Linked DNA regions of Cricetulus griseus. The protein of the gene in region 2 interacts with the protein of the main gene of each other region in a pairwise test. Links are inferred from orthologs where the notes say so. Each region holds a gene or a part of one and is shown on either strand. Other genes may lie near its edges. The genes, in order: GRB2-related adapter protein and Trim21.

The links.
Region 1: the proteins of Trim21 (region 2) and GRB2-related adapter protein interact in binary tests that used the Homo sapiens proteins (3 or more experiments, as listed by UniProt). The two-hybrid records come from large-scale screens. The link is inferred for Cricetulus griseus from reciprocal best matches to the Homo sapiens genes TRIM21 and GRAP.

The regions. Positions count from the first base shown.
Region 1 is NC_048600.1:75,656,310-75,660,842, reverse strand, and holds the start of GRB2-related adapter protein, read right to left. Parts: upstream 3,006-4,533; 5' UTR 2,719-3,005; intron 2,286-2,718; exon of another isoform or gene 2,025-2,285; intron 1-2,024. UniProt on the Homo sapiens protein: Couples signals from receptor and cytoplasmic tyrosine kinases to the Ras signaling pathway. Plays a role in the inner ear and in hearing.
Region 2 is NC_048596.1:96,819,936-96,824,272, forward strand, and holds the start of Trim21 (E3 ubiquitin-protein ligase TRIM21), read left to right. Parts: upstream 1-1,446; 5' UTR 1,447-1,579; intron 1,580-2,845; coding exon 2,846-3,241; intron 3,242-3,598; coding exon 3,599-3,694; intron 3,695-4,337. UniProt on the Homo sapiens protein: E3 ubiquitin-protein ligase whose activity is dependent on E2 enzymes, UBE2D1, UBE2D2, UBE2E1 and UBE2E2.

The DNA.
Region 1 (4,533 bases), on a different chromosome or scaffold from region 2:
ATGTCACGGAAGTTTCCGATGTCTGTGTTTGGGTCATGCTTTCCTGTTGCTTTGTTTTGTGCACTTCATAATTTTGTTAGAAGCAATAATTCTAGGTATTTGTTACCTTCTCCAACTCTTTGTTTGGATTTAGTTTGTTAGATAAACTTTGTTTAATGATTTAGTGAGTGAATTACTTGTTCCTCAGCAGGCACAGCTTTGGGTATACCCACAGTGACCCAGGATAAAGGTGATTTCACAGTGGCCCAGGATAAAGGTGATTTCGTCAGAGTTGCCTCTGTCTCTTTCCCTGACTACACACAGCTGTTAAGCCCCCACTAACTGCCATTTCTAGAATTCTCTGAGTCATAAACCACTCTACAGATGAGTCAGATTAACTCTGATCCTCTGAAGGAAGAGTGTGTGAGGTCCGTTCTTGGTTCCTCTTCCCCTCCCCCTCCTCTCCTCACTTCACACATGCTAGGCAAGTGCCCTATCGTTAAGCACATCTCCAGCCCCTAGAATGCAGACAGTCCTAGACTTAGAATGGTTTTCATGGTTTTTGAAACTTTACGGTATGTGAGAATGACATTTGCCCAGTAGAAACCACTCTTTGAGTTTGGGCTTTGTATTCTTCCTGGATTGCTGCCCAAAGCCCTCTCTGAGCTGTTCCCAGCCATCCCACAGTCAAGGTGAGACTACCCACACACAGTGTGCTTTGTTGGTGGTGTTTCATCAGAATCCTGCAAAGTCAACATTCACTGCAAGATAGTATGAGTTAGATGATTCTGCCCAACTGCCTGCTAACTGTTCGAAGCACGTTTAAGGCAATTTAGGTGGATTTAATGCTTTTCTCACTTAAGGTATTTTAAACTTACCATGAGTTTATCTGGTTGGAACACTATCATAAGCCAAGGAGCATTTGTAGATGATCCTTCATTTTTTGTTCACAATGACGATAATTCCCTAAGACTTTAAAAGTGTACTTGTTTGCATTGGTTTTCCCCAGTTTCGAAGGGAGACAGATCTACAGAGGTCCTCATTGGTGCCATGCCAGAAGTGGACCTCAGAATACTCTAGTTTTAGTCTTTGGCTTGTTTGCTTGTTTACTGTTGTAAACACAACATTTCACTTAGAACCTGGGATATAATTTAGTCTTAAGAACTCTCTGGGTAAGGAGATGGTTCAATCAGTAAGTGGCTTACTGCACAAGCATGAGAACCCGAGTTCTATCCCCAGGGCCCACATAAAACAGTTGGACACAGTGGCACACACTTGTAATTCCAGTGCCCAGGAAGCAGAGACAGGAGGATCCCTAAGGGTTGCTGGCCAGCTAATCTAAATGAACTGTTGAGCTCAGGTTGTGGTTGCTATCTAATATTGAACAGCTTGACAGGTTGCCGAGTAACTGGTGCTGGTGCCTGGGCTGCTACACGGAATTTTCTAGGTTGGGTACACTGAGGTAGTGAAGGAAATAGTCGGAAGGAATCCAAGTCTTTTCTAGCAAAGGACTGATCATAGGAATGGAACCTTCACAATGTGACTCCTGAAAAAACGTTGTTTACACAGAAGTCTGTGGCATTCTCAAAACTCAGTGGGCCAAGACAGGAGACCCTTTACCCCAGTTTCGTTTTCTTTCTTTTTCTTTTCTTTTCTTTTTTTTTTTTTTTTTTTTGGTTTTTCGAGACAGGGTTTCTCTGTGTAGCTTTGGAGCCTATCCTGGCACTCGCTCTGGAGACCAGGCTGTCCGCAAACTCACAGAGATCCGCCTGGCTCTGCCTCCCGAGTGCTGGGATTAAAGGCCTGTGCCACCAACGCCCAGCTTCTTTGTTTTCTTAACACCAATTTTTTTCAATCAGCCAACCTTCAAACACTGTGAGTTCAAACCCCAGCCAGTGGGGAAAAGACACAGTGCCCTCAAGGATAAAAATCTAGCACATTTATTTCCTGTTCAGTGTGCTTGCTGCCTGAACGAAGCAGTGCACGTTTTAGCAATAGTCAATGCTACTTTGCCAACTTACTTTCACTTTGCACATGTGTTGTAGCATCGATTGCAACCTTGGATCCCAGATCTAATCTCCAAGAAATGGGGAGATCCACCATAACTGTTGGACCAAATGCAACAGAGAGAGAAAGAGAGAGAGAGAGAGAGAGCATTCATTACTCTCTACTTTCTCACTTTGGATGCAGTGTGGTCAGCCACTTCTGTTCCTGCCACCAAACCTTACCCAGCATCGTGACAGACAGGATGGTATCTCCTGGAACTGTGATCCAAAACAAACTCTTCACTACAATGATCTTATCAGGTATGTTATTGCTTCGGCGAGACAAGTAATTCTACACCCTACTCCAGAAACAAGGTGAGAGACATTGAGAGAGATACCAGGGTTTGACCTCTAGCCTCCACATGTATGCTCATGAATACTTGCATGCACAAAATACGTATACATACAAACATGCACACACATTTAAAAAAAAATCTCTGGCCTGGTGAGATGGCTCAGCAGGTATAAGTTATTGCTGCTCAGGTCTGATGGATATCCTGGGCTCCATCCTCAGAACCCACAGAGAAAGGAGAGACCAACTCCTAAAAATTGTCCTCTGATCTCCATGTACATGTTATGACACTCATACACACACACACACACACACACACACACACACACACACACACATGCTCCCACACATCACACACGTCATACATACACACAGTAAAAAAATGTTTGTGTCTGTCATTACCTCACCCCCTCTGACTTATCACTGCTGTCTTCTGTGGTACTTGGGATGAACTCTCCAGAGAGATCCCATGTTTCTGCCAATCTGGATGATAAAGGCCCCAAGGTGACCTCTGCACAGCTCGTCATCTAGTCTAGTGACCTCAGAGCTTCCAACCTCATGAACTTGCAGCCTGTTCCCCACAGGTCAGCCCAGCTTCTTCTGGGATGGAAGCTGGGTTGAGTTTCCTTGCTCTGACTCCTTCCTCATGATGCCCTCCTCTCACACAGCCCTTCCTGACTCAGAGCACCCTGGCTTCCTATGCTTCTCGCACCAGCACAGCGGTTTACCAGCTCTAGAGCCTGAGGTTGTTTCTCTGGAAAGTCAGGGTGGGGGTGGTGCTGATCTGTGGAGTGCTGCCTCCTCCAGCCTCTAGCCACTCCCGAATTCCTCAGCTCTCCCACCACCTGGAGCTTCCAGCCAGAACATCTGTTCCTGTCATCTCTCCTGTCCTGTGTCAGAGCTCCCTCTTAGGAGTGACACCCAGCACCAGAAGGCAAAGGCTGGGAAGCCTTGGAGGGAGCAGACAGGCCTCTAGCCAGAGGAAAAAAAACAAAGGGAACATAGAAGGAAAAGGAGGCCTTCGCCTGTGACTCTTGTCCTCTAAGAGTCAAGAATTCATCACCATTGACAGAATTTGCTATGAGGATCTCCCAGAGAAACAACATTCTTTTATGCAGAGATATTTCACATAAGTATCTTACATAGCAATGAATCATGCCTAGGTCAAACTAGGATATTTGTGTTAGCCTCACTCCTTTCCCAGTTTGAAGCCTGCAGCTTTCTGAGACTTTTACAAATGAAATTATGAACTTGTTTATAGTCACAGCATACATCCTCACTCCCTTGAAACTAGTATGGGAAGCATTCCCTCAGTTCTTATATCCTATGGTTTGATTTTATCAGGCTGTATTTCTGTTCAGCACAACTCTGAAAAAAAAAAAAAAACCTAGGATCTCATTTACTGAAAAGAAAGAGAGAGAAGGAAGGAAGAAAAAAAAGAAAGGAAGAGAGAGAGAAAGAGAGAGAGAGAGAGAGAGAGAGAGAGAGAGAGAGAGAAGCCCAGTAGATTAAAGCACATGTCTTTAATCCCAGCACTCTGGAGGCAGAAGCAGGTGGATTCCTGAGTTCGAGGGCAGCCTCGTCTACAGGGTGAGTTCCAGGCAAGCCTGAGCTATCTATCTCAATTAAAGTAAAATAAAATAAATAATTAGCAAGGCATGATAGCACACACCTATAATCCCAATCCTCAGGAGGCAGAGGCAGGCAGATCCCTGAGTTTGAGACCAGCCTGATCTACAAGTAGAGTTCCAGGACATCCAGGGCTACACAGAGAAACCCTTTCCAGAAAAAAACAAACAATAATAATAAAATAAAGAGAAAAGAAAACCCTTTCAACAGGACTGGAAGTATAGTTTAGTGGGTACAATGCTTGCCTAGCATGCATGGAGTTCTAGACTTCAGCCCCAGCACCACTTAACTGGGCGAGGTAGTGCATCCCTGTAATCCCAGCACTCGGGAGGCAGAGGGTTAAGGTCATCCTCAGGGTTCAAGGCTGGCTTGAATCTTCATGGTCTACATGAAGCCCCACTTCAAAAAAGAAAGGAAGGAAGGAAGGAAGGAAGGAAGGAAGGAAGGAAGGAAGGAAGGAAGTTAGGAAGGAAAGGAAAAGGAAGAGACCCCTTTAAAGACTATAACTTCAGAAGCCTCTAAAATCACTTATGTGCTACTGGTTAAGACATTTAAGTGGGTTCTCTCTTGAGGAGTCCATACTCACAT
Region 2 (4,337 bases):
AAAAAATCTCTCTTAAATAGGACTAGAAATTTCAAAGTATTTGATATTTTATGTTTCCTAAATATAATAAATGTCAAAGGAAAATTCAACCAATGCTTTTTAGCGCAAGTATAATACAGTTGATGCTCACAATCTCAACTCCCTTCATTGGTACAGCACCTACCTAGACATCTAAGGAATAAATTTCTCACCCCAGACCATCTGAGAAGAGGGGAGCAAAATTGGAAGATAGAGAGATGGGAAAAGAGTATAATTAAAGTACACTGTATAATTAATATATGCTAATTAAAACAATGACAGGATCTTTCACCCCAGATTTTATTTTTTGTTTTGTTTTTCTTTTTATTTTAATTAGAAAGAAAATTATTTTACATGTCAATCCCAGGTCCCTTTCCCTCCCCTCTGCCTCTCACCCCCCCACCCCACAACTAACACCCTACCTATCCCATACCCTTTCTGCTCCCAAGGGAGTGTGAGGCCTTTCATAGGGGGTCTTCAAAGTCTGTCTTATTCTTTGGGATAGGGCCTGGGCCAACCCCCTTGTGTCTAGGCTCAGGGAGTATTCCTCCATGTGGGATGGGCTCCTAAAGTCCATTCCTATGGTAGCAATAAGTACTGATGCACTGCAAGAGGTCCCATAGATTTCCAAGGTCTCCTCACTGACACCACGTTCAGGGGCTCTGGATCAATCCCATGCTGGTTTCCCAGCTATCAGTCTGGGGACCAGGAGCTCTGCCTTGTTCAGGTCAACTGTTTCTGTGGGTTTTACCATTCTGGTATGGACCCCTTTGGCAGGGAGGTTGAGTTGAGGGAAGAACAGAAGAGAGCAAGATAAGAGATAATATAATAGAGGGAGACATAGGTTTAAAGAGAAATCAGGCACTAGGGAAATGTCTGGAGAGCTACAAAGATGACAACAACTAACAATCTAAGCAAAAGAGGAGAGGCTACCTTAAATGCCCTCCCCTGATAATGAGATTGATGACTAACTTGTATTCCATCCTATAGCCTTCATCCAGCAGCTGGTGGAAGTAGAAGCAGACAGCCACAGCTAAACCTTGAACTGAACTGAAATCCAGTTGCAGAGAAGGAGGACTGATCACCCCAGATTTTAAAGAACTACCAGTCTTGTGAGAAGGAATCCATTACTGGATGGAGCAAGCAGATAGTGAATCCTCTCCTTCCGGACCCCTTCTCCCAGATGCTCCCAGGTGTGAGGTGAAGACCCTTGTCAAAGGCAACACATCGATATCGTGTAGATTACATTGTTAAATAAGACCAGGAGGCCTCAGAGAGAACGAAGGCAGCAAGGCAGTTTCCTCCACCTGTGCCTGCGGCTAGCAGGCTAGCAGTCGGCAGCTTCTAGCACCTTTGACCTCTCTCTCACACGCTCCACCCAGTCTCCGCCTTCTCTGCTTGAGTCCTCCCCTAGCCGTTCAACTCTCCGCTCCTCCCCTTGCTCCTCCCGCTTCCTTCTAGACTAGCCTCTGAGAGGAAACTGAAAGTGAAATTTAGGGAGCAGGCTTGTGAAAGCCACACTGGGAGCTCACCCGTAGCCCATGCTGAGGACCCTGCTAAGGTGAGTGAGGCTGGGATCCCCGACCCACCTAGGAGTGCTCTCTCCTCCGCCCCTTCCCACCTGCGACTCCCACCCGAACCTGCCGGCGCACCTGCTGCTTCTTTTCAGCAGTGTTCTCTAGTTCCAGCCCTGGCTGGCTGCCCACACAGGCCTGTGGAAGCGGGGCTCTGAAAGTGACTTTCCCGGTGCCCTGCCTGGAAGGGGCTGTTTAGTGACTGGTGCCTGAGCTGAGACGAGGGGGCTAGTAAAGGTGGGAAAAGCAGGCTGTGAGCTAGCCCAGAGGGGAGCTCAGGGAAACTCCTGTCCCTTGAAGACCTCTGCTGGAGGTGAGTACTAGCCATTTAGAATGCTCTACTGAAAATTTATGTAGATTTAAGACTCTCAGCGCCCTAAAGGAAGTTAAGACAGGTACTAGGTTTGGATAGTCTTAGAGAAAAGCCTGGCAACTGCTCTCCACAAATGTGTATGGATAAGTACACATATTCACATATGTACATAAACATTCATATAGGAGAACATGTGGACACACCTACATTGATGCATTTGTGCTCAAGTATATTTTATAAATAAGAACATATTAGGATAAAAAACAGCTATGTATATATATGTATATACATAAATACATACACATGCAACCCTAATGACTGGGAAATGTACCCTTAGATGATGCCATAATGAACACACACCTTGAAGTATACTTCCATGAACCTATGATATAGCCTATTATTCATCATCATATTTGACCAAAATATCTCATGTAACGAATAACTTCGTAAACCTTTGACTCCTTACTCCTGCAGTTATTGTCAAGATTAATGAAGACGGACATAAGCAATGTAGCACCCAGTTGGAATATGGAGGGTGCTTGGTAAATATGGCATATGGTAAATGGTCACTCTCCGCGCCATGGAGGCGCAAGATGAGAGAAAGTGTGTGAGAGAAGTCTGGACACTGAGGGTTAAAGCAGGGATGGATATGATGAGCTGGAATTATTAACAGCATTATCCCCGCCACTTTCCAATGTTTCTTCTGGAAACTCAGTTTCCCCTTCTGCCTGACTAGATCAATGGGTCAGACTAGGGAGGAGAGGCTGCTGTTGTGCAGGTTGATACTCTTGCCTTCATTTGTTTCCTTCTCCTGTGTCATTTTCTCACATGTTTTCCTTTGCATTGTTTTGGGAACTTTTGGTATTGTCTTGCTTTTGCTTTTGTCATGCAAACTTTCATTTATCTCTTCCCTCCTCCTCTGCACTCAAAATCCTCCAAGATGGCTCTGGAAAAGATGTGGGAAAATGTCATCTGCTCTATCTGTCTGGACTCCATGGTGGAGCCTATGAGTATCGAATGTGGCCATTGCTTCTGCAAGGAATGCATTTCTGAGGTCGGGAAAAATGGTGGCGGTATATGTCCCGAGTGCCGGCAACAGTTTCTGCTCAGAAACCTCAGGCCCATTCGACGTATAGCCAACATGGTAGAAGACCTTAAACAAACAGCCGGGGATGCCAATAAGGACACCCAGGAAGACCGCTGCATGAAGCATGGAGAGAAACTTCTAGTGTTCTGTGAGGAAGATGGGCAGGCCCTTTGCTGGGTGTGTGCCCAGTCTGGGAAACACCTTGACCACACCAAGGTCCCTATTGAAGAAGCTGCTCGGGTATACCAGGTGAGGCTCTAGCACAGAGACACCCATAGATATAAAGAAGGTGCTCCATGAAGAATGCTCCGCTCCCCAGCATAGTGACTGAGAGTCATCCTTACAGGGGAATGGAGGGTAGTTTCTCATTGAGAGGAACTTGTGCATCAAATACAAGCTTATTTCTCAGGAGCCGAGACTATGCCGTGGGATGTGCGTGGATTATGCTTCCTCTGGCTTCCTGGTGAATTAGAAATGTAATGACCAGATCCCATTCCCCATCAGTGTCGCTCTGTTTTGTAAGACATACTAGGTTTCCCCCAAAGTCTTCCCATTCCCCTCTTCCACATCTCTATCTGGGGACTAACCTACCACCTTTTTCTACAGGAGAAGCTCCTCGTGGCTTTAGAAAAACTGAGGAAAGGGAAAGAATTCGCCGAGAAGCTGGAAATGGATCTTGCAATGCAAAGAACAGACTGGAAGGCAAGAACCCGGGGATAGGCTGGGTCCCAGGTCTTGATCTCAAGCAAGCATTAACTATGACTGTGCCTATCCAAGGGGTGGGAGAATTGTTATATAGGTCACTCCCCAAGGACCATCCACACTATATCTCTAGACAGAGAAGAATTTAAGAAAGAAAGAAGGAAGGAAGCTTAAAATCAGATGAGATTTCCCCCAATCTGTCACAAAGTTCAAGAATTACTGCAGAAAGTCTAAGAAGGTCACACCATCCCTTCTGACCCTGTCTCGGTGAATGACGGTCTTGTGATAACAGGTCTGAGGTATCCTGTGAGAAAATCCCAACTCCTGCACCCTTTAGACATGACAAAGAGGGGAGGGAACAGCCGGAAAGGATCTATGTAAGTCTGAGGTAGGAGGCCCACCTGACTCGGTGGCTGCTTAATGATGACCAGGCTATTAGTGCAAAGCCTGGTAAAGAATTAAAGTCTGTCGCATTGGTAATTTGCCAGGAGAAAAAAGGATACATCTGAAATTGACAAGGAGTGTAAGGGGCTCAGAGCAATCACAGACCCCAAAAGTGGAATGGGATTAGCAAAGACTGAATCAAGCTGTGGTGGCAAAAGAAACGAGATCATCTGTGCCATCCGGTGACCCTCCCAAGATA